Linked DNA regions of Anolis sagrei. The protein of the gene in region 3 interacts with the protein of the main gene of each other region in a pairwise test. Links are inferred from orthologs where the notes say so. Each region holds a gene or a part of one and is shown on either strand. Other genes may lie near its edges.

What was found.
Region 1: the proteins of USP2 (region 3) and NEFL interact in binary tests that used the Homo sapiens proteins (3 or more experiments, as listed by UniProt). The two-hybrid records come from large-scale screens. The link is inferred for Anolis sagrei from reciprocal best matches to the Homo sapiens genes USP2 and NEFL.
Region 2: the proteins of USP2 (region 3) and DTX3 interact in binary tests that used the Homo sapiens proteins (3 or more experiments, as listed by UniProt). The link is inferred for Anolis sagrei from reciprocal best matches to the Homo sapiens genes USP2 and DTX3.

What each region holds. Positions count from the first base shown.
Region 1 is NC_090027.1:5,850,660-5,861,151, forward strand, and holds the start of NEFL (neurofilament light polypeptide), read right to left. Parts: upstream 5,046-10,492; 5' UTR 4,971-5,045; coding exon 3,879-4,970; intron 1-3,878. UniProt on the Homo sapiens protein: Neurofilaments usually contain three intermediate filament proteins: NEFL, NEFM, and NEFH which are involved in the maintenance of neuronal caliber.
Region 2 is NC_090022.1:186,265,695-186,276,343, forward strand, and holds the start of DTX3 (probable E3 ubiquitin-protein ligase DTX3), read left to right. Parts: upstream 1-5,994; 5' UTR 5,995-6,260; intron 6,261-10,649. UniProt on the Homo sapiens protein: Regulator of Notch signaling, a signaling pathway involved in cell-cell communications that regulates a broad spectrum of cell-fate determinations.
Region 3 is NC_090027.1:39,099,090-39,110,130, reverse strand, and holds the start of USP2 (ubiquitin carboxyl-terminal hydrolase 2), read right to left. Parts: upstream 5,197-11,041; 5' UTR 5,007-5,196; intron 1-5,006. UniProt on the Homo sapiens protein: Hydrolase that deubiquitinates polyubiquitinated target proteins such as MDM2, MDM4 and CCND1. Isoform 1 and isoform 4 possess both ubiquitin-specific peptidase and isopeptidase activities.

The DNA.
Region 1 (10,492 bases), about 33 Mb from region 3:
GTAAAGTAAATAAATTAATTAATTAATACTAATACTACTACTACTACTAATAATAATAATAATAATCTTTATTTATACCCCGCTACCATCTCCCGAGGGACTCGGTGCGGCTTATATGAGGCCGAGCCCACAATACATCAATGATAAAGCAAAAACAACAATTAATACAGACAATAAAATAAAACTCATAACAAAAAATAAACAATAAACAATAGTATTTTATGCACATTTATGCAGAAGTAAATCCAAACATGGGATTGTGCTGAAACTCCAAGAATAATCAGTGCTGATGGACAATGATTCATCAAGAAACAGATAAATTGTTGTTGAAGGCTTTCATGGCCAGAATCACTAGCTTGTTGTGAGTTTTCCAGGCTGTATGGCCATGTTCCAGAAGCATTCTCTCCTGACGTTTCACCCACATCTATGGCAAGCATACTCAGAGGTTGTGATGTCTGATGGAAACTAGGCAAGTGGGGTTTATATACCTGTGGAATAATGTCCAGAGTGGGAGAAAGAACTCTTGTCTGTTGGAGGCAAGTGTGAGTGTTGCAATTGGCCACCTTGATTAGCATCGAATGGCCTTGCAGCTTCAAAGCCTGGCTGTAAAAGGTCCAGGGTGGGTGAAAGAACTCTTGTCTGTTGGAGGCAAGTGTGAATGTTGCAATTTGCCACCTTGATTAGCATCGAATGGCCTTGCAGCTTCAAAGACTTGCTGTGAAGGTCCAGGGTGGGAGAAAGAACTCTTGTCTGTCGAAGGCAAGTGTGAATGTTGCAATTGACCACCTTGATTAGTGTTGAATGGCCTTGCAGCTTCAAAGCCTGGTTGCTTCCTGCCTGGAGGCATTCCACCTCCCAACAAAGGATCCCCTGGGCAGAAAGCAGTGAAGTTTTGAAGCTGCAAGGCCATTCAGTGCTAACCAAGCTAGCCAATTGCAACATTCACACTTGCCTCCAACAGACAAGAGTTATTTTTCCCACTCTGGACATTCCACAGAGATAGATAGATAGATAGATAGATAGATAAAAACCCCACTTGCCTAGTTTCCAACAGACTAAGTATTATTTCTTCTGCTCCAGATAGTAGGACACAGAGAAATAGTTTTGAAGTGCAGGAAACTAGATTCCATCTTGACATCTGGGAAACAATAATATGCTTCCGTGAATTGTGATGGAGTCTTGTTCTCTGGAGGTTTTTCAAACCTCTGTCCCCCACCAGTGTCTGTGTGTGTGTGTGTGTGTGTGTGTGTGTGTGTGTGTGTGTATATATATATATATATATATATATATATTGCGCATGTGTGGTAATGTATTCTGTGGGTGGTTTTTTTGGCTTTTTAAGTCTCTTCTGCTGTGTTTTTCAGTGTTTTTATGAGTGATGGTCACTCATTGGCCTGAGAGGTTTCTTGTGTCCAAATCTGGTGTCAATTCATCCAGTGGTTTTTGAGTTATGTTAGTCCCACAAACGAACATTAAATTTTTTTATTTATATACTAGCCATGCCATGTATTGCTGCGGCCCAGTCTGTGTATATGTGTTTTGTATGTGTGTGCGTGTATATTTGTGTATATGTGTGTTTGCATATGTGTGTGTGGTTTTGTGCATGTGTTGTAATGTTTGTGGGATTTTTTGACTTTTTAAGTCTCTTCTGCTGTGTTTCTCAGTGTTTTTGTGAGTGATGGTTGCTTGTTGGCCAGTGTTCTGCTTCTCCTCGAGCTCCTGATCTAGATACCCTCTCCCGTATCCGCGGCAACCTTCCTTCCCCTCCCCCTCGGTATCCGCAAGTCCCCCTTGGTGCCCACCTGGAGGGTGGTGATGTGCTTCTCCTCTAACTCCTGAACTAGATACCCTCCCCCGTATCCGCAGCAACCTTCCTTCCCCTCTCCCCTGGTATCCGCGGGCCCCCTTGGTGCCCACCTGGAGGGTGGTGATGTGCTTCTCCTCTAACTCCTGAACTAGATACCCTCCCCCGTATCCGCAGCAACCTTCCTTCCCCTCTCCCCTGGTATCCGCGGGCCCCCTTGGTGCCCACCTGGAGGGTGGTGATGTGCTTCTCCTCTAACTCCTGAACTAGATACCCTCCCCCGTATCCGCAGCAACCTTCCTTCCCCTCTCCCCTGGTATCCGCGGGCCCCCTTGGTGCCCACCTGGAGGGTGGTGATGTGCTTCTCCTCTAACTCCTGAACTAGATACCCTCTCACGTATCCGCAGCAACCTTCCTTCCCCTCCCCCTCGGTATCCACGGGCCCCCTTGGTGCCCACCTGGAGGGTGGTGATGTGCTTCTCCTCTAACTCCTGAACTAGATACCCTCCCACGTATCCGCAGCAACCTTCCTTCCCCTCCCCCTCGGTATCCGCGGGCCCCCTTGGTGCCCAACTGGAGGGTGGTGATGTGCTTCTCCTCTAACTCCTGAACTAGATACCCTCCCCCGTATCCGCAGCAACCTTCCTTCCCCTCTCCCCTGGTATCCGCGGGCCCCCTTGGTGCCCACCTGGAGGGTGGTGATGTGCTTCTCCTCTAACTCCTGAACTAGATACCCTCCCCCGTATCCGCAGCAACCTTCCTTCCCCTCTCCCCTGGTATCCGCGGGCCCCCTTGGTGCCCACCTGGAGGGTGGTGATGTGCTTCTCCTCTAACTCCTGAACTAGATACCCTCTCACGTATCCGCAGCAACCTTCCTTCCCCTCCCCCTCGGTATCCACGGGCCCCCTTGGTGCCCACCTGGAGGGTGGTGATGTGCTTCTCCTCTAACTCCTGAACTAGATACCCTCCCACGTATCCGCAGCAACCTTCCTTCCCCTCCCCCTCGGTATCCGCGGGCCCCCTTGGTGCCCAACTGGAGGGTGGTGATGTGCTTCTCCTCTAACTCCTGAACTAGATACCCTCCCCCGTATCCGCAGCAACCTTCCTTCCCCTCTCCCCTGGTATCCGCGGGCCCCCTTGGTGCCCACCTGGAGGGCAGCGAAGCCAGCATTATGCTTCTCCTCAAGCTCCTGAACTAGATACCCTCCCCCGTATCCGCAGCAATCTTCCTTCCCCTCTCCCCCGTATCCGCGGGTCCCCCTTGGTGCCCACTTCGAGATCGGCATTGTGCTTCTCCTTGAGCTCCTGATCTAGATACCCTCCCCCTTACCTGTGGCAACCTTCCCCCTCCCCCAGTATCCGTGGGTCCCCCTTTGTTCCCACCTGGAGGGCGGTGATGTGCTTCTCCTCTAAGTCCTGATCTAGATACCCTCCCCCATATCCGCAGCAACCTTCCTTCTCCTCTCCCCCGGTATTCGCGGGCCCACCGGTTGGTGCCCACCTGGAGGTCGGCGAGGTCGGCATTGTGCTTCTCTTCGAGCTCCTGATTTAGATACCCTCCCCCATATCCGCAGCAACCTTCCCCCTCCCCTGGTATCTGCGGGTCCCCCTTGGCGCCCACCTGGAGGGCGGTGATGTGCTTCTCCTCTAACTCCTGATCTAGTTACCCTCCCCCTGTATGTGGGTCCCCCTTGGTGCCCACCTGGAGGTCGGCATTGTGCTTCTCCTCGAGGTCCTGATCTAGATACCCTCTCCCATATCCCTGTATCTAGATACCCTTCCCCGGTATCCGCGGGTCCCCCTTTGTGCCTACCTGGAGGGCGGCGATGTGTTTCTCCTCTAACTCCTGATCTAGATACCCTCCCCTGTATCCCTGTATCTAGATACCCTCCCCCATATCTAGATACCCTCCCCCATATCCGCGGCAATCTCTCCCCCGGTATCTGCGGGTCCCCCTTTGTTCTCACCTGGAGGGAGGTGATGTGCGAGCTCCTGATCTAGATACCTTCCCCCGTATCCGCGGCAACCTCCCCCCTCCCCCGGTATCCGCCCCCCCCCCCCCGTTGGTGCCCACCTGGAGGGCGGCGAGGTCTGCGTTGTGCTTCTCCTCGAGCTCCTGGAGCTGCTTCTCGAGGGCCTCGTTGGCTCCGCGCGTGGCCTCGATCTCGAGGGTCTTGGCCTTGAGGAGGCGGCGGCTCTCGGCCACCTCGTCCTTGGCGGCGCGGGCGGCGTCGGTGTTCTTGGCGGCGCTCTCGGAGAGGACGGAGAAGCGGCTGCGGAACCACTCCTCGGCGTTCTGCATGTTGCGGGCGGCGAGGCGCTCGTACTGGGCGCGGATGTCGCGGAGGGCGGCGGAGAGGTCGGGCTTGGCGCTGGCGCCCAGGTCGGCCTCGGCGGAGAGCTGGGCGCCTTGCTGGGCCACCTGGGCTTGCAGCTCGGCCAGCTCCTCCTCGTGCACCTTCTTGAGGAAGGCCAGCTCGTCGAGGAGCGAGTCGACGCGCTTCTCCAGCTCGGCGCGGCCCAGCGCGGCTTCGTCGGCGGCCTTGCGGGCTTCCAAGAGGCGGGCTTCGGCTTCCTCTCGGGCGGCGGCCTCCTCCTCGACGCGCCCGGCCAGCGCCCGCAGCGTCTCCTCCAAGCCTTCGCGCTCCCCTTGCAGCGCGGCTCGCTCGTGGCCGGCCTCCTCGGCGGCGAGGCGCAGCTCGCGGATCTCCTGCTCGTAGAGGGCGCGGAAGCGGGAGGGCTCGGCGTGCCTCTGCCGCAAGCCCAGCAGCTCCGCCTCCAGCGCCTTGTTCTGCTGCTCCAGCTCGTGGACGCGCTCGATGAAGCAGGCGAAGCGGTCGTTCAGGTCCTGCAGCTGCGCCTTCTCCTGGCTCCGGATGGCCTTCAGGTCGTTGCTCAGCGCCGCCACCTGCGTCAGGTCCAGGCTCTCCGCCGCCAGCGCCGCCGAGAACGACGACGAGGCCGACGACGACGCCGCGTAGCTCCGCCGCACCGACACCGACGACAGCGGCGCGGACAGGCTCGAGTAGGTCGAGCGGGAGGACGCCCCGTAGCCCAGCCCTGCGCCCAAGCCCCGCACCCGCGACGACGACGAGGAGGACACCCCGCCGTCGGCGAAGCGGCGCTTGTAGGCCGGGAAGTACGTCTCGTAGCCGAACGAGCTCATCGTCTTGCCCGAGTTTGCCTCAGAGAGGAGAAGGAGAAGGAGCAGCAGAGGAAGAGACAACCTTCTGCGGAAGAGCGCCGCACTCCGCTCCTATTTATACCCAACAAAGTGGGCGGGGACTCCTCTCGCCACGCCCCTCTCTGCCCGCGTTAAGCCACACCCCCTTTACTGCTGTGGAAGAGAACCACAGACCTAGAGTCGGATTCATAGAATGCTAGAGTTGGTTGAGGCAAAGGTGAATGTTGCAATTAGTATTGAATGGTCTTGCAGCTTCGAAGCCTGGCTGCTTCTAACAGCTACCATCCACTCCAACACCATTCTGCCAAGAAGCAGGAAACTCCCGTTCAAAGCACCCCCAACAGCACCCCCATCCATCCTCTGTTGAAAAGCCTTCAAAGAAAGAGGCTCCACGACACACCGGGGCAGAGAGTTCCACTGCTGAACGGCTCTCACATAGAATCCTAGAGTTGGAAGAGACCTCATGGGCCATCCAGTCCAACCCTATTCTGCCAAGAAGCAGGAAAATCCCATTCAAAGCACCCCCAACAGATGGTCATCCATCCTAGAGTTGGAAGAGACCTCGTGGGCCATCCAGTCCAACCCCATTCTGCCAATTAGAACAAAAAATCCAATTCAAAGCACCCTCAACAGATGGCCATCCAAACTCTGTTGAAAAGCCTTCAAAGAAGGAGCCTCCACCACACTCCAGGGCAGAGAGTTCCACTGCTGAACAGCTCTCACATAGAACCCATTCTGCCCGACAGATGGCCACCCAGCCTCTGTTTCAAAGCCTCCACCGCACTCAGGGGCAGAGAGTTCCACTGCTGAACAGCTCTCACATAGAACCCATTCTGCCCAACAGATGGCCACCCAGCCTCTGTTTCAAAGCCTCCACCACACTCAGGGGCAGAGAGTTCCACTGCTGAACAGCTCTCACATAGAACATTCTGCCATGAAGCAGGAAAATCCCATTCAAAGCACCCTCAATAGATGGTCATCCATCCTAGAGTTGGAAGAGACCTCATGGGCCATCCAGTCCAACCCCATTCTGCCAATTAGAACAAAAATCCCATTCAAAGCACCCCCAACATATGGTCATCCATCCTCTGTTGAAAAGCCTTCAAACAAGGAGCCTCCACCACACGCCGGGGAGGAGAGTTCCACTGCTGAACAGCTCTCACATAGAATCCTAGAGTTGGAAGAGAATTCATGGGCCATCCAGTCCAAACCCATTCTGCCAATTAAAACAAAAATCCCATTCAAAGCACCCCCAACAGATGCCCATCCAGCCTCTGTTGAAAAGCCTCCACCACACTCCGGGGCAGAGAGTTCCACTGCTGAATAGCTCTCACATAGAATCCTAGAGTTGGAAGAGACTTCGTGGGCCATCCAGTCCAACCCCATTCTGCCAATTAGAACAAAAATCCTATTCAAAGCACCCTGACAGATGGCCATCCAGCCTCTGTTTAAAAGCCTCCATCACACTTCGGAGCAGAGAGTTCCACTGCTGAACAGCTTTCACAGTTAGCAAGTTCTAAAAATTATAAAATTCTAAAGATGGTTGAGGCAAGTGTGAATGTTGCAATTGGCCACCTTGATTGGTATTGAATGTTCTTGCAGCTTCAAAGCCTGCTGAATCTACCATCCTTTCCAACCCCATTCTGCCAAAAAGCAGGAAAATTCCACTCAAAACACCCCGACAGATGGCCATCCAACCTCTGTTTAAAAGCCTCCAAAGCTGCTATGAAAGAGAACCACAGACCTAGAGTCATAGATTCATAGAATTCTAGAGCTGGAAGAGGCAAGTATGAATGTTGCAATTGGCCACCTTGATTAGTATTGAATGGCCTCGCAGCTTCAAAGCTTGGCTGCTTCTAACAACTACCATCCAGTCCAACCCCATTCTGCCAAGAATCAGGAAAATCTCATTCAAAGCACCCCCAAAAGATGGCCATCCAACCTCTGTTTAAAAGCCTCCAAAGAAGGAGCCCCCACCACACTCCGGGGCAGAGTGTTCCACTGCTGAACAGCTCTCACGTAGAATCCTAGAGTTGGATAAGACCTCATGGACCATCCGGTCCAGCCCCATTCTGCCAAAAAAACCCAAAAATCCCATTCAAACCACCTTCAACAGATGGCCATCCAAACTCTGTTGAAAAGCCTTCAAAGAAGGAGCCTTCACTACACTCCTGGGCAGAGAATTCCACTGCTGAACAGCTCTCACATAGAATCCTAGAATTGGAAGAGACCTCATGGGGCATCCAGTCCAACCCTATTCTGTCAATAAGCAGAAAATCCCATTCAAAGCATCCCGACAGATGGCCATCCAGCCTCTGTTGAAAAGCAAAGAAGGAGCCTCCACCACACTCCAGGGCAGAGAGTTCCACTGCTGAACAGCTCTCACATAGAATCCTAGATTTGGAAGAGACCTCATGGGCCATCCAGTCCAACCCTATTCTGCCAAGAGATATTGACAAGCTGGAATGTGTTCAGAAGGGGGCGACTCAACTGATCAAGGGTCTGGAGAACAAGCCCTTTGAGGAGCGGCTTACAGAGCTGGGCATGTTTTGCCTGAAGAAGAGAAGGATGAGAGGAGATTTGATAGCCATGTATAAATAAGTGAGAGGAAGCCACAGGGAAGAGATAGCAAGCTTGTTTTCTGCTGCCCTGGAGACTAGGATGCAATGGAACAATGGCTTCAAACTACAAGAAAGGAGATTCCACCTGAACATTAGGAAGAACTTCCTGACTGTGAGAGCCGTTCAGCAGTGGAACTCTCTGCCCTGGAGTGTGGTGGTGGCTCCTTCTTTGGAAGCTTTTAAACAGAGGCTGGATGGCCATCTGTCAGGGGTGCTTTGAATGCAATTTTCCTGCTTCTTGGCAGAATGAGGTTGGACTGGATGGCCCAGGAGGTCTCGTCCAACTCTAGGATTCTTATGATTCTATAAGAAACAGGAAAATCCCATTTAAAGCACCCCCAACAGATGGCAATCCAGCCTCTGTTTAGAAGCCTCCAAAGAAGGAGCCTCCACCACACTCTGGGGCAGAGAGTTCCATTGCTGAACAGCTCTCACATTGCTGACCATCTCTCTGGATCCTAGAGTTGGAGGAGACCTCATGGGCCATCCAGTCCAACCCCATTCTTCCAAGAAGCAGGAAAATCCCATTCAAAGCACTCCTGACAGATAGCCATCTAGCCTCTGTTTCAAATCCTCCAAAGAAGGAGCCTCCACCATAATCCGGGGCAGAGAGTTCCACTGCTGAACAGCTCTCACATTATTATTATTATTGTTATTATTATTATTATTATTATTATTATTATTATTATTATTATTGTGTGAGATCAGATAATCCAGCATATATAATCCAGCATATAGATCTCATTTGCTGTGACCGTACTGTGGTTTTGTGTCAGTAAAATAATAATAACAATAAACTTTATTTATAGCCCGCCACCATCTACCAAAGGAGACTTGGGGGGCTTACATGAGGCTTGGCCCAGCAATAGAATCAGAGAATCATAGAATCAAAGAGTTGGAAGAGACCTCCTGGGCCATCCAGTCCAACCCCATTCTGCCAAGAAGCCGGAATATTGCATTTAAATCACCCCTGACAGATGGCCATCCAGCCTCTGTTTAAAAGCTTCCAAAGAAGGAGCCTCCACCACACTCCGGGGCAGAGAGTTCCACTGCTGAACGGCTCTCACAGTCAGGAAGTTCTTCCTCATGTTCAGATGGAATCTCCTCTCTTGTAGTTTGAAGCCATTGTTCCACGTCCTAGTCTCCAGGGAAGCAGAAAACAAGCTTGCTCCCTCCTCCCTGTGGCTTCCTCTCACATATTTATACATGGCTATCATATCCCCTCTCAGCCTTCTCTTCTTCAGGCTAAACATGCCCAGCTCTTTAAGCCGCTCTTCATAGGGCTTGTTCTCCAGACCCTTGATCATTTTAGTCGCCCTCCTCTGGACACATTCCAGCTTGTCAATATCTCTCTTGAATTGTGGTGCCCAGAATTGGACACAATATTCCAGGTGTGGTCTAACCAGAGCGGAATAGAGGGGTAGCATGACTTCCCTAGATCTAGACACTCTGCTCCTATTGATGCAGGCCAAAATCCCATTGGCTTTTTTTGCCGCCACATCACATTGTTGGCTCATGTTTAACTTGTTGTCCATGAGGACTCCAAGATTTTTTTCACACATACTGCTCTCCAGCCAGGCATCCCCCATTCTGTATCTTTGCATTTTGTTTTTTCCTGCCAAAGTGGAGTATCTTGCATTTGTCACTGTTGAACTTCATTTTGTTAGTTTTGGCCCATCATCTCTCTAATCTGTCAAGATCGTTTTGAATCCTGCTCCTGTCCTCTGGAGTCTTGGCTATCCCTCCCAATTTGGTGTCGTCTTCAAACTTGATAATCCTGCCTTCTAACCCTTCATCTAAGTCATTAATAAAGATGTTGAACAGGACCGGGCCCAGGACGGAACTCTGCGGCACTCCGCTCGTCACTTCTTTCCAGGATGAAGAGGAAGCCTTGGGGAGAATCACCCTCTGGGTTCGTCCATTTAACCAATTACAGATCCACCTCACCATAGTTTTGCCTAGCCCACATTGGTCTAGTTTGTTTGCCAGAAGGTCATGGGGGACCTTGTCGAAGGCCTTCCTGAAATCCAGAAATACATTACAGCAACATGAAATATAAACAACAAAATAATATTGCAATAAAATAAATGAACCAATCAAGTAAAATAAACAGTACAAAATAACATACTGGAAAATCAAACACAGTGGGAGGGCCAAATGCCTGACATAAAATGATAAAACTCTGGATGAGATAGCAATGAAACATAGAAACAGAGTTGGAAGAGACCTCATGGGCCATCCAGTCCAACCCCATTCTGCCAAGAAGCAGGAAAATCCCATTCAAAGCACCCCCGACAGATGGCCATCCAGCCTCTCTTTAAAAGCCTCCAAAGAAGGAGCCTCCACCACACTCCGGGCCAGAGAGTTCCACTGCTGATCTCACAGCCTTTAATATTGCCTGCCATAGATGTGGGTGAAACGTCAGGAGAGAATGCTTCTGGAACATAGCCAGACAGCCCGGAAAACTCACAACAACCCACTGATTCTGGCCATGAAAGCCTTCGACAACACATAGAACCACAGAATCTCCCTCAACGGTGTCTAGAAGTGGGAGGAGCCCTTAGCTATGCTTTTCCCCGCCCCTTTTTGGATGGACATCCCGCTCCCATGTTAGCCACGCCCTCATCTCGGCTCCGCCGCAGTTGCTTTACGCATCTTCACGCATGCGCCCTTGTTGCTGGCTCAGGAAGTGCAGAGCTCTTCCTGAAGCCTTGGCCCAGGCATGGGCAAACGGGCCCTCCAGGTGTTTTGGACTTCAACTCCCACCGGCTGCTCGGAGGAATTGTGGGAGTTGGAGTCCAAAACACCTGGAGGGCTCAAGTTTGCTCATGCTTGCCTTAGCCGTTCAGAAACTGCACAGGTTCAGCACCTTGGAGAGCTCTT
Region 2 (10,649 bases), on a different chromosome or scaffold from region 3:
AATACTGCATAAAATTATGTATTGGCACAGTTGGTAATTTTTAGACAGCAATTTGCTTTCGGTCACCAGGGATCTATCCCAATAGATCCCTACCTACCTTCTAACGCACCATGTACATGGGTAGCACTATAGAAATAAATGACATAACTAATCACTATATTTTTAATGGAGAAGACTAAATCCAGGAGTTTTTCCATGCCTCACTCAACTACTGTACACTTGAACCAATGCATCTGCTCTTAGGACCAATGAAAATAAAGTTTTAGTTTTAGGTGCCCTGAGGAGGAAAGAAGGTGGAGCCAATAGGCAGAGGGTTGTGTATGTATTTCATAGAATCATAGAATCAAAGAGTTGGAAGAGACCTCATGGGCCATCCAGTCCAACCCCCTGCCAAGAAGCAGGAATATTGCATTCAAATCACCCCTGACAGATGGCCATCCAGCCTCTGTTTAAAAGCTTCCAAAGAAGGAGCCTCCACCACACTCCGGGGCAGAGAGTTCCACTGCTGAACGGTCAATTTACACTGTAGAATGAGGTTTGACACCACTTTCAACGCAGTGGCTCACCCTGCTCATCATAATAGGTAAGTAAGATTGCCTTCCAAGTGAAGGGTCTTTGCGGATGAGCACGTAGAAGACCATAGAGACCTATTCTGTATCCGCATGTTCTTTCGCAGTGGGGACATCAATTTCCAGATGTAAGGCTTGACATGCCTTCCTGTTGCATGTTTATCCCTTTTGCCATCCATTTGTGCCTTTTTGAATTCCACAGCATTGTTGCTCACAATTGACCTCCAGTTAGGATGCTTGAAGGCCATGGCTTCCAAGTTCTATGTGTCTATGCCACAGTTTTAAGCTTGACTTTAAGCCCATCTTTAAATCTGTTTTCTTGTCAAGCAACATACCATTTTAGTTCTTGGGTTGGGAGTATAGTAAGTGCTTTGGTAAATGGTGATCAGGCATTCGGACAAAGTAGACAGTTCAACAGAGTTGATGGCATAGGAGCATTGCTTCAGTGCTGGTGATCTTTGCTGCTTCTTCCAGACCACTGACATTTGTCTGCCTGTCTTCCCAAGAGATTTTGCAGGATTTTTCAGAGACAACACTGGTGGAATCATTCCAGAAGTTGAGTGCGACGTCTGTAGTAGACGGTCCATGTTTTGCAGGCGTATAGCAGGGTTGGGAGGACAATAGTTTTATAAACAAGCATCTTGGTCTCCTTACAAATGTCCCAATCCTCAAACACTGCTTCATTCAGAAAAATTCTGCACTCATACAGCTCAGGCAGTGTTATATTTCAGTGTCGATGCTGACTTTTGTGGAGAGGTGGCTGCCAAGGCAGCAGAAATGGTCAACATTTTCTAACATTACAACATTAAGCTGTATTTCCAGCTCTGCAGAGGGATTGGCTGGTGCCTGCTGCACGAGTATTTTGGTTTTCTCAATGTTCAGTGAGAGATCAAGCTGTTTGAATGCTTCTGCAAAGGTGTTTAGAATGGCTAGTATGTACAATCATAGAATAATAGAATTGGAAGAGACCACATGGGCTACAAAGCCCAACCCCCTGCTAAGAAGCAGGAAAATCATGTTCAAAGCATCCCTGACAATTGGCCATCCAACCTCTGCTTAAAAGCCTCCAAAGAAGGAGCCTCCACCACACTTCAGGGCAGAGAGTTCCAATGTTGAACAGCTCTTACGGTCTGGAAGTTCCTCCTAATGTTCAGGTGGAATATCCTTTCCTGTAATTTGAACCCATTGCTCCAAGTCCTAGTTTCCAGAGCAGCAGAAAACAACCCTGCTCTCTCTACCTTATGACACCCTTTCACATATTCATACATAGCTATCATGTCTCCTCCCAATCTTTTCTTTGGCAGGCTAAAAATACCCAGTTCTTGAAGACACTCATCATAGTGATTAACTGTCTCCAGACTCCAGGTGAGTACTAACCAAAGCAGAATAGAGAGGCACCATGACTTCCCACAATCTAGATACTATACTCTTTTTGATGCAGTCCAAAATCCCATTGGCTTTTTAAGCTGCTGCATCACACTGTAGGCTCATGTTCAACTTGTTGTCCACAAAGACTCCCAAGTTCTTTCCCACATGTACTGTTGTTGAGCCAGGCATCACACATCTTGTATCTTTGCATTTCATTTTTCTGCCTAAGTGTAGTATCTTACATTTTAGTCCTTGTTGAAATTCATTATTTTAGCTCTATAATTTGTTAAAGTGAGTATGATCTGGAGTATTAGCTCTTCCTCCTAATTCAGTGTCATCTGCAAACTTGATAAGCACATCTTCTAAACCTTCTACCAAATCATTACTAAAGATGTTGAACAGAACTGGGCCCAACACTGTGGCAATCCACTTGTCACTTCTTTCCAGGATGAAGAGGAAGCATTAGTGAGCACCCTTTGGGTTCGGTTGCTTAACTATAGAATCATAGAGTTGGAAGAGACCTCCTGGGCCATCCATTCCAACCCCCTGCCAAGAAGCAGGAATATTGCATTCAAAGCACCCCTGACAGATGGCCATCCAGCCTCTGTTTAAAAGCTTCCAAAGAAGGAGCCTCCACCACACTCCAGGGCTGAGAGTTCCACTGCTGAATGGCTCTCACAGTCAGGAAGTTCTTCCTAATGTTTAGATGGAATCTCCTTTCTTGTTTGAAGCCATTGTTCCGCGTCCTAGTCTCCAGAGAAGTAGAAAACAAGCTTGCTCCCTCCTCTCTGTGACTTCCTCTCACATATTTATACATGGCTATCATATCTTCTCTCAGCCTTCTCTTCTTCAGGCTAAATATGCCCAGCTCTTTAAGCCTCTCCTCATAGGGCTTGTTCTCCAGACCCTTGATCATTTGAGTCGCCCTCCTCTGGACACATTCCAGCTTGTCAATATCTCCCTTCAATTGTGGTGCCCAGAATTGGACACAATATTCCAGGTGTGGTCTAACCAAGGCAAAACAGAGGGGTAGCATTACTTCCCTGGATCTAGACACTATACTCCTATTGATGCAGGCCAAAATCCCATTGGCTTTTTTTGCTGCCACATGTCATTGTTGGCTCATGTTTAACTTGTTGTCCACAAGGACTCCAAGATCTTTTTCACATGTACTGCTCTCGAGCCAGGCATTGTCCCCCATTCTGTATCTTTGCATTTTGTTTTTTCTGCCTAAGTGGAGTAACCAATTATACCAAGTAAACCAATTATAAATCTATGTAGTAATAGTTTTGCCTAGCGCACATTTAACTAGTTTGCTTGCAAGAAGGTCATGGGGGGCTTTGTCAAAGGCCTTACTGAAATCAAGATATGCTATTGGAGCATCATCATTACATCGGTGCCCCTTCATTTGGTGCAATGCCTGGGATATGAACCCGGGCCTCCCACATGACAGGTGAGAATTCTACCACTGAACCACCAATTCCCTGCATCTACCAAGCCGGTAACTCTATTGAAAAAAGAGAGAATACATCTAATATATATCTCCATTGATTCTATAGCACTGAGCCATGACAGTTAAAGTGATGTCAAACTATTGATTTTACAGCACAGATGCATCCTTGGCTAACTCAAACAACCTATTCAATGCTAATCAAGGTGATCAATTGCAACATTCACACTTACCTCAGGCAGACAAGAGTTCTTTCTCCCACCTTGGATATTCCACAGATATATAAACCTCACTTGCCTAATTTCCAACAGACCTCACAACCTCTGAGGATGCCTGCCATAGATGTGGGCAAAACATCAGAAGAGAAGGATTCTGGAACATGATCATACAGCCTGGAAAACTCACAGCAACCCAGGGATAGAAATTAACTAATATTAGTATTAATAATGATGATCGCCTTGAGGCAAGTGGTGCCAAACCGTGTTAATGCCACAATGTGTAGATGCTGCACCCCTGGGCATGCTTTAGTAAGGTTCTCAATCTTTCTAATGCTGCAACCCCTTAATTCAGTGCCTCATATTGTGGTGACCCCCAACCTTAAAATTATTTTTGTTGCTACTTCATAATGGTAATTTTGTCACTGTTATGAATTGTAATGTAAATATCTGATATGCAGGATGTATTTTCATTCATTGGACCAAATTTGTCATAAATACCCAATATGTCTAAATTTGAATACTGGTGGGGTTGGGGGAGAATTGATTTTGTCATTTGGGAGTTGTAGTTGCTGGGATTTATAGTTCACCTACAATCAAAGAGCATTATGAATTCCATCTATGATGGAATTGGACCAAAATTGGCACACAGGACTCCCGTGACCAACAGAAAATACTGGAAGGGATTGGTGGGCATTGGCCTTGGGTTTTGGAGTTATAGTTCACCTACATCCAGAGAGCACTATGGAGTCAAACAATGAAGGCTCCGGACCAAACTTGGCATGGATACTCAGTATGCCCAAATGTGGACACTGGTGGAGTTTCGGGAAAATTGACCTTGACATTTGGGAGTTGTAGTTGCTAGGATTTATACTTCACCTACAATCAAAGAGCATTCTGAACTCCACCAATGAGGGAAATGAACCCTCAAATTGAACCAAACTTGGCACACAGGACTCCCATGATCAACAGAAAATACTGGAAGGGTTTGGTGGGCATTGGCCTTGGGTTTTGGAGTTGTAGTTCACCTACATCCAGAGATGTAGGATCTGGACCAAACAATGATGGATCCGGACCAAAATTGGCATGGATACTCAATATGCCCAAATATGGACACTGGTGGAGTTTGGGGGAAATAGACCTTGACATTTGGGAGTTGTAGTTGCTGGGATTTATAGTTTACCTACAATCATATAGCATTCTGAATTCCATCAATGATGGAATTGGGCCAAAATTGGCACACAGGACTCCCATGACCAACAGAAAATATTGGAAGGGTTTGGTGGGCATTGGCCTTGGGTTTCAGAGTTGTAGTTCACCTACATCCAGAGAGCACCGTGGACTCAAACAATGATGGATCTGGACCAAACTTGGCATGGTTACTCAATATGCCCAAATGTGGACACTGGTGCAGTTTGGGGGAAATAGACCTTGACATTTGGGAGTCGTAGTTGCTGGGATTTATAGTTCACCTACAATCAAAGAGTATTGTGAACCCAATCAATGATATAATTGGGCCAAACTTCCCACACAGAACCCCCATGACTAACAGTAAATACTGTGTAGGCCAGGGGTCCTCAAACTAAGGCCTTGGGGCCGGATACGGCCCTCCAAGGTCATTTACCCGGCCCTCGCTCAGGGTCAACTTAAGTCTGAAACGACTTGAAAGCACACAACAACAACAACCCTATCTCATCAGCCAAAAGCAGATTCACACTTCCTATTGAAATACGAATAAGTTTATATTTGTTAAAATTGTTCATTTTAATTATTGTATTGTTTTAAATTTTTTTTGCACTACAAATAAGAGATGTGCAGCGTGCATAGGAATTCATGTTTTTTTCAAATTATAATCCAGCCCTCCAACAGTTTGAGGGACTGTGACCTGGCCCTCTGTTTAAAAAGTTTGTGCAGGCTGTGGGTTTTTCAGGCTGTATGGCCATGTTCTCTAGAAGCATTCTCTCCTGACGTTTCGCCTGCATCTGTGGCAGGCATCCTCAGAGGTTGTGAGGTCTCACAACCTCTGTGGATGCTTGCCATAGATGCAGGCGAAACGTCAGGAGAGAATGCTTCTAGAGAACATGGCCATATAGCCCGAAAAAACCTATAACAACCCAGTTGTGAGGTCTGTTGGAAACGAGGAAAATGGGTAAATACTGATGGTCTTTGGCGACCCCTCTGACAGCCCCCTGCCGTAGGAGAAGGCATCCTGGCCCCCCACCCTCTGGGCAGAGAAACCCACAGCTCTTTCCCCTCCTCTTTTCTTTCTTTCTCCTCCTCCTCCTTTCCTCCTCTTCGACGCCCGCCCACAGCCTCCTCCTGGGCCCCTCTCTCGCTCTTTGGCGAGGCTGTTGCTATGGCGACGGTCACGTGACTGCGCCTCGGCGGGGAAGGAGGAGAGAAAGAGGAAGAAAGAGGAGGAGGAGGAAGGGGAACCGGCGGCGCTAAGACCCCGGGCGGCGCGAGGCTTCCTCGGGCGCGCCAAAGGCAGAAGCAGCAGCAGCGGCAGGAGGAGGAAGAAGCAAAGCAAGCAGCAGCCAGCAGCGCCTCCTCCTCCTCCTGCTCTCCCTTTGGCAACCTTCTCCTCCTCCGGCACGTCAGCTCTTCCTCAGCCTCGATGGATGGAGCCTCCCTGCCGCCCCCAGAGGTGCCGCTATGGTGGGTTTATCTCGGGATCGTGTCGCTTCAGAGGGGGAGGAAGCGGGGGAAGCAGGAGCCGGGGGAGGAGGGGAGAATCCATCGCGAAACAAGGCACCGCCGCCGTCTGGACCTCATCAAAAACGCCTCTGCATGTGGCGCATTGCAAACAGCTGCAGCATCAGCCCTTGCCTTGTTGAGTGTTTTTTGGGGCTGGGTCTCTGCCTTGTTGTATTATTTGGGGGAACTTGCAGGTGGGGGCCCCTACCTTTTTTTTAAAGGCCCCACAACCTTTTTAAAAATGCAGCATCTCCTTTATGCCCCCCTAAAAGCATTGAAGTGGGTGCCCCCCCCCCCCCCAAAAGAGATTGATACAGTTGTGTCAATCCTGGATGGAGCTCACCTAGTGCCCACCTTTGTGAGGTTGAAGCAGGGAGTATTTCCCTCATTGACAATCTCTTATTTTGGGGAGGGGAAGCGATATAGGGTCTTACCATAGGGGGTGTATTTGGATGATTATTTTTTTGTGCATCCATAGGGGTGTTTTTTTGTTTTGCCTCCAATCAGGGTGTCAAATGGTTAAGGAGAGCAGGTCCAAATTGATGCCTCCCCTGGCCTCATTTTCCAGGGAAAGTAGTCTGCAAAATAGAGGTGTATTAGGGATGGTTTTGTTTAGGAGGTGTAAAATAAATAAATATACTAATCTAGCTTCAATTACAATCAGGTCCAAAAGGGATCGGAGTCTGGATTATTTTCCCAGGTGGAAAAATAGGGATTTATTTATATTTTTGGGAGGTGGGGGTCTCATTTTCCAAGGGATGTGGTCTAAAAGATAGAGGTGTATATTAGGGATGGTTTTGTTTAGGAGGCATAAAATAAAGAAATACACTAATCTAGCACCAATTGGGAGCTGGTCCAAAGGTATTACTTTCCCAGGTGGAAAATGAGGATTTATTTATATTTTTGGGAGGTGGTGGTCTCATTTTCCAAGGGAAGTTGTCTAAAAGATAGAGGTGTATTATGGATGGTTTTGTTTTGGAGGTGTAAAATAAAGAAATATACTAATCTAGCTCCAATTAGGAGCAGGTCCAAAGGTGATCGGAATCTATATTATTTTCCCAGGTGGAAAAATAGGGATTTATTTATATTTTTGGGAGGTGGTGGCCTTATATTCCAAGGGATGTGGTCTAAAAAATAGAAGTGTATTATGGATGGTTTTGTTTTGGAGGGTAAAATAAAGAATTATAATAATCTAGCTCCAATTACGAGCAGGACCAAAAGGCTTACTTTCCCAGGTGGAAAAATAGGGATTTATTTATATTTTTGGGAGGTGGTGGCCTTATTTTCCAAAGGATGTGGTCTAAAAAATAGAAGTGTATTATGGATAGTTTTGTTTTGGAGGCGTAAAATAAAGAAATATACTAATCTAGCACCACTTGGGAGCTGGTCCAAAGGTATTATTTTCCCAGGTGGAAAAATGGGGATTTATTTATATATTTTGGGAGGTAGTAGCCTCATTTTCCAAGGGATGTGGTCTAAAAATAGAGGTGTATTATGGATGGTTTTGTTTTGGAAGCGTAAAATAAATAAATATATTAATCTAGCACCAATTTGGAACTGGTCCAAAGGGATAGAAGTCTGGATTGTTTTCCCAGGTTGAAAAATAGAGGTCTATGTATAATTTTGGGAGGTGCTCGCCTCATTCTCTAAGGGAAGTGGTCTGAAAAATAGAGGTGTATGGATGTTGTTGTTTTTTTGTTTTGGAGGTGTAACATAAATAAATATGTCCAAAAGGATAGACCTCTGGAATGTTTGCCAAGGTGGGAAAATAGAGGTCTATGTATATATATATATATACACACACACACACACATACACACACACATATATATGGGGGGGGGGGGGAATATGGGGACAGAAGTGGCTCCAATTGGGATCAGATCCAAAAGGATGGGGCGCCGAGGCTTATTTTCCGAGCCATTGTCTTCCACCCCATTGGTGGTCCGCTTCTCTATTGTTCCCTATTTATCCTTTATTCCTTCCAAAGAAAGATGGGACTCTCTCTTGTCTTTGATAAACAAGATCTCATGCGTGGATCCGCTAGTCGTCGGAAGAGGTTACTAATAATAAAGCCTCTCCCCACCACCACCCTGAACTGGATCTCAAGGAGGGAAAGGCGTTCTTTCCTCTGCCCACTAAAATATTTTTATGTCTTTCCTTCTTCCTTTTTCCCTTCCTTTTCCCCTCCTTTTGCCATGTTTGTTTTCCTTTTTTCACCCCCTCTCCCTGACTGACAATAGACCAGGCCTGTGATCTTTTATCAGCCAGGTGAGACCCACAGAAAGGTACAGTCTCGGCCTTGCCCAAGGTCACCTGGATCAAAGGCTGTCCAGATAAAGGCAAGGCTCCTGTATCCATGCATCGCGGTTATGTGTCTACAAAGGCAAAGTAGCTTTCAGCCTGGCGCAGCTAGTCATCATTGGGGGGAGCGGGTGTTGTTTGGGAAAAACAGCATCAGAAGACATTCCCCATTCACAACTCTCACGAGTATGAATTGCATCCCCGAGATCAAATATATGGACCACCTCTGCTGGCTGGACTGCCTTGTTTGGTGTAATTCTTCTTGCAGGCTGCCATTGAGAGAGAAAAATATAAATCCATTTTTGAAGGGTTGCTCAATTCTGTAGGGTAAGTCCCTTAGCCTCCATCTTGAGAGAAAAGGCAGGAAATAAAAAGCAACCCTTTCTGATCCTTGGGTAGGGGTGCATTTTTTTCCTACATGGCAAGGCTGTGTGTTTTTCTCCTCCTACTCAAGGTCCAACAGGTCATGAAAGCTGGAGACATTGGGACTGTGTTGTTAGTTTTTGCTGCATCTTCTTTGCACGGTCGGTTGGTTGTTGTAGAGTTCTTTTTTGATGATTTCTTGTAGAGTTGGATGAAGTTTATGTGCTGAGTTCTTTGACAATGTACGTCAGGCTCACTATCAAATATAAATAACTATTTAAGCTGACTGGCTGCTTCCTCTTCTTCCTTTTCTTCTTCCACCACCTCTTTTGTAAAGTCTTCCACTCGGTGTGCATCCACACTGTAAAATGAATGCAGTTTGACACCACTTTAACTGCCATGGTTCAGTGCTGTGGAATCATTTGGTGAGGTGCCAGCACTCTTTAGCAGAGAAGACTAAGGCCCCTTCCACACCACTGAATAAAATCCCACATTTTCTGCTTTGAACTGGAATATATGGCAGTGTGGACTCAGATAACCCAGTTCAAAGCAGATATTCTGGGTTATATGGCTGTGTGGAAGGACCCCTAGAGACGTGTATCTAAAACTCCCATGATTCCATGCCATTGAGCCATGGCAATTAGGTTAACATAGCATAGAAACTGTTATAAATTCTGTAGAGTAAGATGCACTCTGACATAAGAATCGCTGTTTAGTTGGCATGTTTAATTCCCGAAGACTTAGATTAGTCTCCTCTGTAGAAATCTTGCACGATAATCTCCATAACCCAGTCCCAGGGCCCTTCCACGCAGCCCTATATCCCAGAATATCAAGGCAGAAAATCCCACCATATCAGCTTTGGGTTATCTGAAGCCACACTCAGATAATGTAGGATTTTTTACCTTGATATTCTGGGATATAGGGCCATGTGGAAGGGTCTCCAGTGGGTGTAGTGCAGCGTTTCTCAACCTGGGGGTTTGGACCCCTGGGGGGGAGGGTCATGAGAAGATGTCAGAGGGGTCACCAAAGATCATCAGAAGACACAGTATTTTCTGTTGGTCATGAGGGTTCTATGTGGGAAGTTTGGCTCAATTCTATTATTGGTGGGGTCCAGAATGCTCTTTGATTGTAGGTGAACTATAAATCCCACAACTACAACTGCCAAATGTCAAGGTCTATTTACCCCCAAACTCTACCAATGTTCACATTTCGGCACATTGAGTATCTGTGCCAAGTTTGATCCAGATCCATCATTGTTTGAGTCCACAGTGCTCTCTGGATGAAGGTGAACTACAACTCTCAAACTCAAGATCAATGCCCACCAAACCCTTCTAGTATTTTCTCTTGGTCATGGGAGTTCTGTGTGCCAAGTTTGGTTCAATTCCCTCATTTGTGGAGTTCGGAATGCTCTTTGATTGTAGGTTAACTATAAATCCCAGCAACTACAACTCCCAAATGACAAAATCAATTATCCCTTCCCCCCAACCCCACCAGTATTCAAAATTGAGCATATTGCATATTTGTATCAAATACATGCTACATATCAGATATATATGATGATTCATAACAGTAGCAAAATTACAGTTGTGAAGTAGCAACAAAAATAATTTTATGGTTGGGGGTCACCACAACATGAAATGTATTAAGGGGTTGCAGCATTAGGAAGGTTGAGAAACACTGGTCTAA
Region 3 (11,041 bases):
CGTTTGTGGGATTAACAGAACTCAAAAACCACAGGGCGAATTGACACCAAATTTGGACAGCATACACCTAACAACCCAATGTATGTCCTTCACTCAAAAAATTGATTGATTTTGTCATTTGGGAGTTGTAGTTGCTGGGATTTATAGTTCACCTAAAATCACAGAGCATTCTGAATTCCATCAATGATGGAACTGAACCAGACTTGGCACACAGTACTCTCAGGACCAACAGAAAATAAAATTACAATAAATGCAAACACAATGACAATGGGTGGGCTACATGTAATGGTTAAAAGAACTAATTAAAACTGGTTAAAAACTCGGGTGAGATAAAAGAGAAACAAATTATTTGTGGAGGAGGGCTCATTATAGTGGGAGATGTGGAATCAAGCTTTCCCACGAGGGGGAAACGTATACTCCAGTGACAAAACATTGCACATGAGGGATAATGTGGGATTGAATACCTATTCACCAAAGGCGCATGTCTGATAGGAAGGATGTATTTTCATTCAATGGACCAAATTTGGCACCGTCTCACAGTCAGGAGGAAGAACTTCCTGACTGTAAGAGCCATTCACCAGTGGAACTCTCTGCCCTGGAGTGTGGTGGAAGCTCCTTCTTTGGAAGCTTTTAAACAGAGGCTGGATGGCCATCTGTCAGGGGTGATTTGAATGCAATATTCCTGCTTCTTGGCAGAATGGGGTTGGACTGGACTGATAAGTCCACTTTTGAATACTGGTGGGGTTGGGGGAGATTGATTTTGTCATTTGGGAGTTGTAGTTGGTGGGATTTATAGTTCACCTACCATCAAAGAACATTCTGAATTCCATCAATGATGGAACTGAACCAGTCTTGGCACACAGAACTCTCATGACCAACAGAAAATACTGGAAGGATTTGGTGGGCATTGACCTTGAGTTTTGAAGTCGTAGTTCACCTCCACCCAGAGAGCACTGTGGACTCAAACAATGAGGGATCCGAACCAAACTTGGCAAGGATACTCATTATGCCCATTATAGTGGAGTTTGGGGAAAATAGATCTTGACATTTGGGAGTTGTAGTTGCTGGGATTTATAGTTCACCTACAATCAAAGGGCATTCTGAACTCCATCAATGATGAAATTGAACCAAACTTGGCACAAAGAACTCCCATGACCAGCAGAAAATACTGGAAGGGTTTGGAGGGCATTGACCTTGAGTTTTGGAATTGTAGTTCACCTACACCCAGAAAGCACTGTGGACTCAAATGATGATGGCTCTGGACCAAACTTGGCACAAATACTCAATATGGCCAAATGTGAACACTGATGGAGTTTGGGGAAAATAGATCTTGACATTTGGGAGTAGTAGTTGCTGGGATTTATAGTTCACCTACGATCACAGCAGGAGGAGGTCTTTTGGTGGGAGGATTCACCATCTGTTTCCAAAAATGACCGGCGGAGAGATCTTCAGCTTCCTCTGCGAAAGGGGTTCCTAAGACTATCAGAAATATGTGCTTTCTGATGGTTTTCGATGACCCCTTTGAAAACCCCCTTGTGACCTCCCCAGGGGTCCCTTCTCCCAGGTTGAGAAACACAGATCGATACTGTAGAAGGAATGCAATTTTGGATCACTTTAACTGCCGTGGCTCAATGCCATGGAATCATGAGAGTTGTGGTTTCATGAGAAGTCAGCACTCTTTCATTGAGAAGGCAAACTATAATTCCCATGACTTCACAGCAATGATAATTAGCAGTTAAAGTGGTGCCAAACTGCATTCACTCTACTGGTATTTTCAGTCCTCTTTTTTCCTTTGCTTGGAGTGAGCCGTGTTTGTGTGTTTCTCTCCAAATCTGGATATCCTCCAGCCATCTCAAACTACTCCGCTCACATCTTCAGTGCTTTCGCAATCTCTGTCACGATGTTTTGGCTCAGCCTGTTGTTCTGAACCAGATATTCGGGGTCAGGCGATGCAAGGAGAGAGAGATCCATGGTGGGATCTCCTGGAGTGGATCTATTTTTAGTGGAATAACAGCTGCGGTGGAGTGGTTACATAGGAATGGGGCAAAGGGTTAGGTAACTCTTTCCCCTCCTGAGTGATTTCCATGAATTGGGAGACATTCCTACCACAAGTAGAACCTCCCTTATCCGGAAATCTGACATGTTTCACAATTGTCCACATAGCTGAGAATGTGAGCCCCTTTGCTTTCCGATGGTTCAATGTATACAAACGTGAGTTGTTGTAGACTTTTCGGGCTATATGGCCATGTTCTAGAAGCATTCTCTCCTGATGTTTCGCCTGCATCTATGGCAAGAATCATCAGAGGTTGTGAGGCATCTTCAGAGGTTGTGAGACCTCACAACCTCTAAGGATGGTTGCCATAGATGCAGGCGAAATGTCAGGAGAGAATGCTTCTAGAACATGGCCATATAGCCCGAAAAACCTACAACAACCCAGTGATTCCAGCCATGAAAACCTTCGACAATACATTACACAAACGTGGCTTCATGAGTCTATCTATCTATCTATCTATCTATCTATCTATCTATCTATCCGTCTATCGATCTATCGATCTATCGATCTAAAACTATTAGGTCTATATAAAATGTAAATGGGTTTCATGTAGAACAGTACAGCATGCCAGCAATGAATTTTGGCATATGGTTGAAGGAACTGGCTTACCTCTCATCCCCATTCTCCCAAGGCAACTGGGAACTGTTGCTTCAGGTTAGTGTGTGTGTATGTGTGTGTGTTGGGTTCTGATTCTGTAATGGAACCCTTTGTAATTCCCACAATCCTCTGGGAGAAGCCATGACAGTTTTTTTTCTATGTCAGGAGCGACTTGATAAACTGCAAGTTACTTCTGGTGTGAGAGAACTGGCTGTCTGCAAGGACTTTGCCCAGGGGATGCCCGGATGTTTTGATGTTTCACCATCCTGGATTATATAAATCCTCACTGCCAAATAATCTGGGATTTTTTTCCATGTCAGGAGCAACTTGAGAAACTGCAAGTCGCTTCTGGTGTGAGAGAATTGGCCGTCTCCAAGGACGTTGCCCAGGGGACACCTGGATGTTTTGATGTCTTACCATCCTTGTGGGAGGCTTCTCTCATGTCCCTGCATAGGGAGCTGGAGCTGACAGAGGGAGCTCATCCATGCTCTCCCCAAATTCAAACCTGCGACCTGTTGGTCTTCAGTCTTGCTGGCACAAGGGTTTAACCCATTGTGCCACCGGGGGCTCCTGCCATGACAGTTACGGAGAATAGAGGCAGGTAATATTATTATTATTATTATTATTATTATTATTATTATTATTACTACTACTATTACAGATATGTAACAGATTAGAGAGATGATTGGGCAAAACTAGCAAAATGAAGTTCAGCAGGGACAAATGCAAGATACTCCACTTAGGCAGAAAAAATGAAATGCAAAGAGACAGAATGGGGGACAATGCCTGGCTCGACAGCAGGACGTGTGGAAAAGATCTTGGAGTCCTCATGGACAACAAGTTAAACATGAGTCAACAATGTCATGCGGCAGCTAAAAAAGCCAGTGGGATTTTGGCCTGCATCAGTAGGAGCCTAGTGCCAAATTCCAAGGAAGTTATGCTCCCCATGCTCTATTCTGCCTTGGTCAGACCACACCTGGAATCACACTGTCCAATTCTGGGCACCACCATTGAAGGGAAATGTTGACTCTAAGCTGGAATGTGTCCAGAGGAGGGTGACTAAATGATCAAGGGTCTGGAGAACAAGCCCTATGAGGAGCAGTTTAAAGAGCTGGGCATGTTTAGCCTGCAGAAGAGAAGGCTGAGAAAAGACATGATGAGGGCCAGGGATCAAGATGTGAGAGGAAGTCATAGAGAGGAGGGAGCAAGGTTCCTTTCTGCTGCCCTCAAGACTAGGAGGTGGAACAGTGGCTTCAAACTACAGGAAAGAGAGAGGATTCCACCTGAACATGAGGAAGAACTTCCTGACTGTGAGAGCTGTTCAGTAGTGGAACTTTCTGCCCTGGAGTGTGGTGGAGGCTTTTAAGCAGAGGCTGGGTGGCCATCTGTTGGGGTGCTTTGAATGCGATTTTCCTACTTCTTGGTGGAATGGGGTTGGACTAGATGGTCCACAAGGTCTCTTCCAACTCTATTATTATTATTATTATTATTATTATTATTATTATTATTATTGTTATTATTAGAAACCCAACAAGATGAATCCACAGCAAACAAGATCACTCTGCTGGCTGTTGCATTGAATCACACATCGGACACTTCCCAAGTGTCTAGGACTGTGTCATGTATCGGCAAATAATGTGTGCAGATCCCAGTAAGGTGGCCTTTTGAAGCTGGCAGATAGTAATTTTATTAGCACTGATTGTGTTTAAGTGCAGGCCAAGGTATTTAGGCACTGCACCCAGTGTGCCGATCACCACTGGGACCACCTTTACTGACTTGTGCCAGTAAATCCTCATATCATGTTGTTGTTGTTGTTGTTGTTGTTGTTGTTGTTGTTGTTGTTATTATTATTATTATTATTATTATTATTATTTTACTGACACCACAGTATGTCACAGCAAACGAGATCTATATGCTGGATTTCGTATCGCAAAATCATAAGTCGAACACTTCCCAAGCGTCTAGGACTGTGTGATATATTATTATTATTATTATTATTATTATTATTATTATTATTCAATATAATCCCATTGAGGATGGAGATAAAACTTCAGACTGGCCTAAAACCACCTTTGCCTCCATCCCAAAAATGCTTGTGGATGGATGGCCGCATTGGATGAGCATTTGGCACATGCTCAGAGGGATGACCACACTTATCTTTGTTACTTCCCTTGGGATTCTGGGAGTTGTTTCATATCATATCATCTTTAGCCTTCTCCACCAAAGAGGGTTGGTGCTTCTCTAAACGATATCTCCTAGTATCCCATTGCAGTTAAACTGGTATCAAACTGCACTAATTTGACAGTGTAGACAAGCTCTGGATGGACCCTTCAGCCTCAGTGTTGATGGTACCCACCTGTGTGCCGAACGACAGGCCCAGGGAGGAATCGTGGCATATGGATGGCGCTCCGGATCAACGGCAGGTGCTCCGTTCGGTCTCAGCAAGCGGCTTTTTCTATTAGGAAAATAGAAATGATTCACAAGAGCCCAAAAGGACTCACTTGTTTGCAGACTCAGAGGATTCTCCTCTCCCTCGCAGGGCAACGTCTGCGGCACAGAATGAACTCCCAAGGCATGTGTCAGCAGCATAGGCAGAAATTCACAGCTCAGGTTACAAGCCAGATAAATATAGTGTCTTATCTGACCTCACGGGGGAATGGATGGGGCTCTCTCACATTCCAGCATCGGGGTGGCTTAAAGGGGAAGCGGAGTCAGAGGCCTAACCAGGCATGTTTATGGTTTTGTGTGGAGTGGGTCAAGAGAAACTACCCACATTGGAGAGAATTTGGAAAAGTTTGCTCTTCTTTTCCTGCAATGGCTTGAAGAAATTATGCTGTTGCGTGCCTTCAAGTTGTTCGGACTTAAGGCAACCCTAAAGTGATCCCATCACAGGGTTTCCTTGGTGAGACACATCCAGAGAGTGTGACTCACCAAGTCTATGCAGATGATCATGCCATTACTACTCAAGCAGGGAGCTTTGAGATGATTGAACAGAAGCTCTCCGAAACTCTAGGTCAGTGGTTCTCAACCTTCCTAATGCCGTGACCCCTTAATACAGTCCCTCATGTTGTGGTGACCCCCAACCATAACATGGTTTTTGTTGCTACTTCATAATAGTCATTTTACTATTGTTATAAACCATAATGTAAATATCAGATATGCAAGATGTATTTTCATTCACTGGACCAAACTGGGCACAAATACCCAATGCACCCACATGTAAATGCTAGTGGGGTTGGGGAAGGATTGATTTTGTCATTTGGGAGTTGTAGTTGCTGGGATTTATAGTTCACCTATAATCAAAGAGCATTCTGAACTGCACCAGCGATGAATTTGAACCTAATTTGCCATACAGAACTCTCATGACTAACGGAAAACACTGGAAGGGTTTGGTAGGTATTGACCTTGAGTTTGGGAGTTGTAGTTCACCTATATCCAGAGAGCACTGTGGACTCACGCAATGGTGGATCTGGACTAAACTTGACACAAATACTCAATATGTGCAAATGTGAACACTGGTGGAGTTGGGGGAAAATAGACCTTGACTTCTGGGAGTTGTAGTTGCTGGGATTTATAGTTCATTACAATCAAAGAACATTCTGAACTCCACCAATGATAGAATTTGCTCAAACTTCCCACATGGAATCCCCATGACCATCAGAAAATACTGTGCTTTCCGATGGTCTTTGGTGACCCCTCTGACACCCCTTCGTGACCCCTTCAGGGGTCCCGACCCCCAGGTTGAGAAACACTGCTCTAGGTGCTCTTACTGCCTACTACAGGGAAAACCAACTGATCCCTAATCCATCTAAAACACAGACATGTGCTTTTCACCTTAAGAACAGACAAGCATCCCGAACTCTGAGGATTATTACCTGGGAAGGAATCCCACTGGAGCATTGCAGCACACCCAGATACCTGGGAGTCATTCTGGACCATGCTCTGACCTACAAGAAGCACTACCTGAACATCAAGCAAAAAGTGGGTGCTAGAAACAATATCATACGCAAGCTGACTGGCACAACCTGGGGATCACAACCAGACACAGTGAAGACATCTGCCTTTGCGCTATGCTACTCTGCTGCTGAGTATGCATGTCCAGTGTGGAACACATCTCACCACACTAAAACAGTGGATGTGGCTCTTAATGAGACATGACGCATTATCATAGGGTGTCTGCGCCCTACACCACTGGAGAAATTACACTGCTTAGCCGGTATTGCACCACCTGACATCCGCCGGGAAGTAGCAGCCAATAGTGAAAGGACCAAGGCAGAGACATCTCCAACTCATCCCCTGTTTGGGTATCAGCCAGCACGTCAATGACTTAAATCTAGAAATAGTTTTCTAAGATCTACAGAGACACTCACTGGAACACTTCAGCAAGCGAGAGTCCAAAATTGGCAGGCTCAAACCCAGAACCTCAATCAATGGCTGATACCAAATGAGAGACTGCCCCCTGGGCACACAGAGGACTGGGCGACTTGGAAGGCACTGAACGGACTGCGCTCTGGCACCACGAGATGCAGAGCCAACCTTAGGAAATGGGGCTACAAAGTGGAATCCACAACCTGCGAGTGTGGAGAGGAGCAAACCACTGACCATCTGCTGCAATGAAACCTGAGCCCTGCCACATGCACAATGGAGGACCTTCTTGCGGCAACACCAGAGGCACTCCAAGTGGCCAGATGCTGGTCAAAGGACATTTAATCAACTATCAAGTTTGCAAATGTTGTTCTTTGTCTGTTTGCTTGTTTTGTTCTGTTAGAAATGTAATACAATTTACTGGTTGCCCTAACACGACAAATAAATAAACCAAGTAGGTTTCTACAGCAGAGCATGAATTTGAAGCCTGGTCTCCAGAATCACAATCAACTACAAAAAATTCCTCTGTTGACTTATGGCTGATTTATGAATTTCATGGGATTTTCTTAGGAAAAGAATACTTGGACTATTTATTTATCGTGCCAGGAGTGAACCAAACAGTTGTATTGCATTAAAAACAAACAAACAAACAAACACAAAGTTTGCAAGCTTGGTAGTTGATTAAATGTTCTTTGACTTGGATTATACACCCCAGAAGCCAGCATAGCCATCGTGAGTCCAATAAAAGGAACTTCCATTACTCCAAAAATGTAACTTTTTCAAACATGGGGGTATTTAAGATGGGCACTGTCAGAGACTCTTATCCATCTGTGCACACATTAGTACAAACCACATGGCAATGGTATTTGACACAGTTTCTAACAGAGGCGTGTCTTCATGGTAGAATTAATGCATTTTAATACAACTGTAACTGCCATAGCTCAATGTTATGGAAACCTGAGATTGGTGTTTGGTGAGGGACTGATATGCTTGGGCAGAGAAGGATAAAGACCACGCCAAACTCCAATTCCCAGCATCCCAAAGCATTGAGCCATGACAATTCAAGTGGTGTCAAACTGCATCAATTCAACAATGTAGATCAGGTATAGGTAAAGCCAGGCCCAAGGGACAGATGCGGCCCCTTGGGCTCTTTTCTCAGGCCCTCCTCTCTCTCATCATCCCATCCTTCCTTCTCTCTTCCCTTCCTCCTTTCCTCCCTCTTTCTCCTTCCCTTTCACCATTTCGCCCTCTTTCCTCCCTCCCTTCTCTCTTTCTCCCTCCTTCTATTTCCTTCCACCCTTTCATGCTTCCATCCTTTTCTCTTTCCTTCCCTTCCTTCCATCCTTCCCTTTCACATTTTTGTCCTTCCTTCCTTTCCTCTTCCCTCCCTCTCTCCTTCTTTCTCCTTCTTTCCTTCCCCTTTGTCTTCCCTTCTTACTCTCTTTCCTTTATCCTTCCCTCCCTCCCTTCTGTCCGTCCATCCATCCTTCCATCCATCCATCCATCCATCCATCCTTCCTTCTTCTTTTTCCTTCTTCCTTTTATCTTTCCTTCCTTCTTTCCTCCCTCTTTCCCGCTCTCCTTTTCTCCTTCCACCCCTTCCTTCCTTCTTTCCTCCCTCTCCCCTTCTTTCTCCTTCCTTCCCTTTTGTCTTTCCTTTCTTGCCTCTTTCCTCCCCTTCCTAATTCTCCCTCCTTCTACTTCCACCCTTTCATCCTTTCATCCTTCTCTCTTTCCCTTCCTTCCTTCCTTCCTTCCTTCCTTCCTTCCTTCCTTCCTTCTATCCATCCACCTTTCCCTTTCACATTTTCGTCCTTCCTTTCTTCCCTCTCTCCTTCCTCTTGCCCTTTTTCTCCTTCTTTCCTTCTTCTTTGTCTTTCCTTCTTTCTCTCTTTACTTTACCCTTTCCTTCCTTCCTTCCTTTTTCTTTTTCCTTCCTCCTTCCCTTTTATCTTTCCTTCCTTCTTTCCTCCCTCTTTCCCTCTCTCCTTTTCTCCTTCCACCCTTTCTTTCTTTCTTTCTTTCTTTCTTTCTTTCTTTCTTTCTTTCTTTCTTCCCTTTCTCCTTCTCTTTCTTCCTTCCATCACCAGGCAGCCAGTCATCCTAGCAAAGAGTACTAACATGTGGCCCCCAAGTTAGAAAGCTTGTCCATGTCTGCTGTAGATGCACCCTGACTTTTGAAATTAAGATGATTAATAAGGACCAGAAACTTTAGGGAGGGAACTGAAAGCAGATTTCTAAAGAACGCTGAATACGAACTTTTCAGCTGGCTTTCATCTTGGACACCTGATAAAATCTTGTTTGTTTTTAACAAGCACTTACAAGGCAATGACACCAATTATTATTATTATCTTCTGTGCACTAAATGCCCGTGTTTGCACAGAGCGGATGAGGAAGCACGAAATTGAAGCTTGCTCGGCCTTGATTGGATCGCATGGCCTTTAAGTGCTGATCATATCTCTTTTGGCCATCTGCAAAAATGGAAGCATCCGCAACCTGGCTATATTGTTGTGATGACAAAAGGGAATGAAGGAAACTGGGTCACCCACCTGGACTTTGGGTTAGACGCAAAGCCCAAATTGAAATGAAAAACATCCCTTGCAATTAGGAATACCAGCAGCCAAAGGTGTCAGAGAAACACTCAAGACGCAAAGCCACTGAAATCCGCAAGAAGCATGTGGACAATTTCAACAGAAAGGAGGAAACCATGAATATAAACAATATATGGCTACTAGTATTAAAAAAACCTCTAAAATTGGATCAGTAAATAAAGAGCAACACTCAGAAAACAGGGAAAATCCAGTCAGGAAGCAATCAGGACCAGCTAACACCTCCCAACAATGGATCCCTCAGGCAGCAACCAGCCAGGCTTTGAAGATGCAAAACCATTCAATGCTAATCAAGGTGGCCAATTGCAACATTCACACTTGCCTCAAGCAGACAAGAGTTCTTTCTTCCACCCTGGACATCATTCCACAGATATATAAACCTCACTTGCCTAGTTTCCAAAAGACCTCACAACCATGAGGATGTCTGCAATAGATGGGAGTGAAACATCAGGAGAGAATGCTTCTGGAACATGGTGAGACAGTCCAGAAAACTCACAGCAACCCAACAATCCCTTTAATTTACCTTTAAAGCTACACATGTAGTTTGGTGAGGAACCCAAACTTTCCGGCACAGAATTATGTGGCGCTCATGCTGCAAATCCCAGGATACTAGGGAATGGAGCTGTCACATTTGTCACATATAGCACATAAGTGCTATAACTGTGCCGTGTGAAAGAAAGAGACATTATATTGACAGTTCAGATGGGATGGGTACAATTTTGGATAATATAGATTACTGGGAAGTGTCCGATCAAATACAAAAATATTAATCTTGCTATGTATCAACAACACCAACAACAACACCACCAACAACAACAGACAAGGGTTCTTTCTCCCACTGTGGACAACAACATTTAAGGCAAGGTGTTATCGAAGGCTGTCATGGGTAGAATCGCTGGGTTGCTGTGAGTTTTTCTGGCTGTATGGCCATGTTCCAGCAGCATTCTTCCTTGATGTTTTGCCTGCATCTGTGACAAGCAGCCTCAGAGGTTTGTTCAGAGGTCTGTTGAAAATGAGGCAAGTGGAGCATCCATAGTGGGAGAAAAAACTCTTGTCTGTTTAGCCCCTACCACACAGCTGTATAAAATCCACACTGAACTGGATTATATGGCAGTGTGAACTTCAGTAACCCAGTTCAAAGCAGATAGTGTGGATTATCTGCCTTGATATTCTGGGGTATAGGACTGTGTGGAAGGGCCCTTTCAAGCAAGTGTAAATGTAGCACTTGGCAAGCTTGATTAGCATTGAGTAGCCTTGCAGCTGCAAAGTCAATCAGTGAGGGTATCTGCATAGAGGTCTGTTGGAAATGAGGCAAGTGGTGTGTATGTATACCTATGGAATAATGTCCACAGTGGGAGAAAGAACCCTTGTCTGTTTGATGCAAGTGTAAATGTTGCAATTGGCAAGTTTGGTTAGC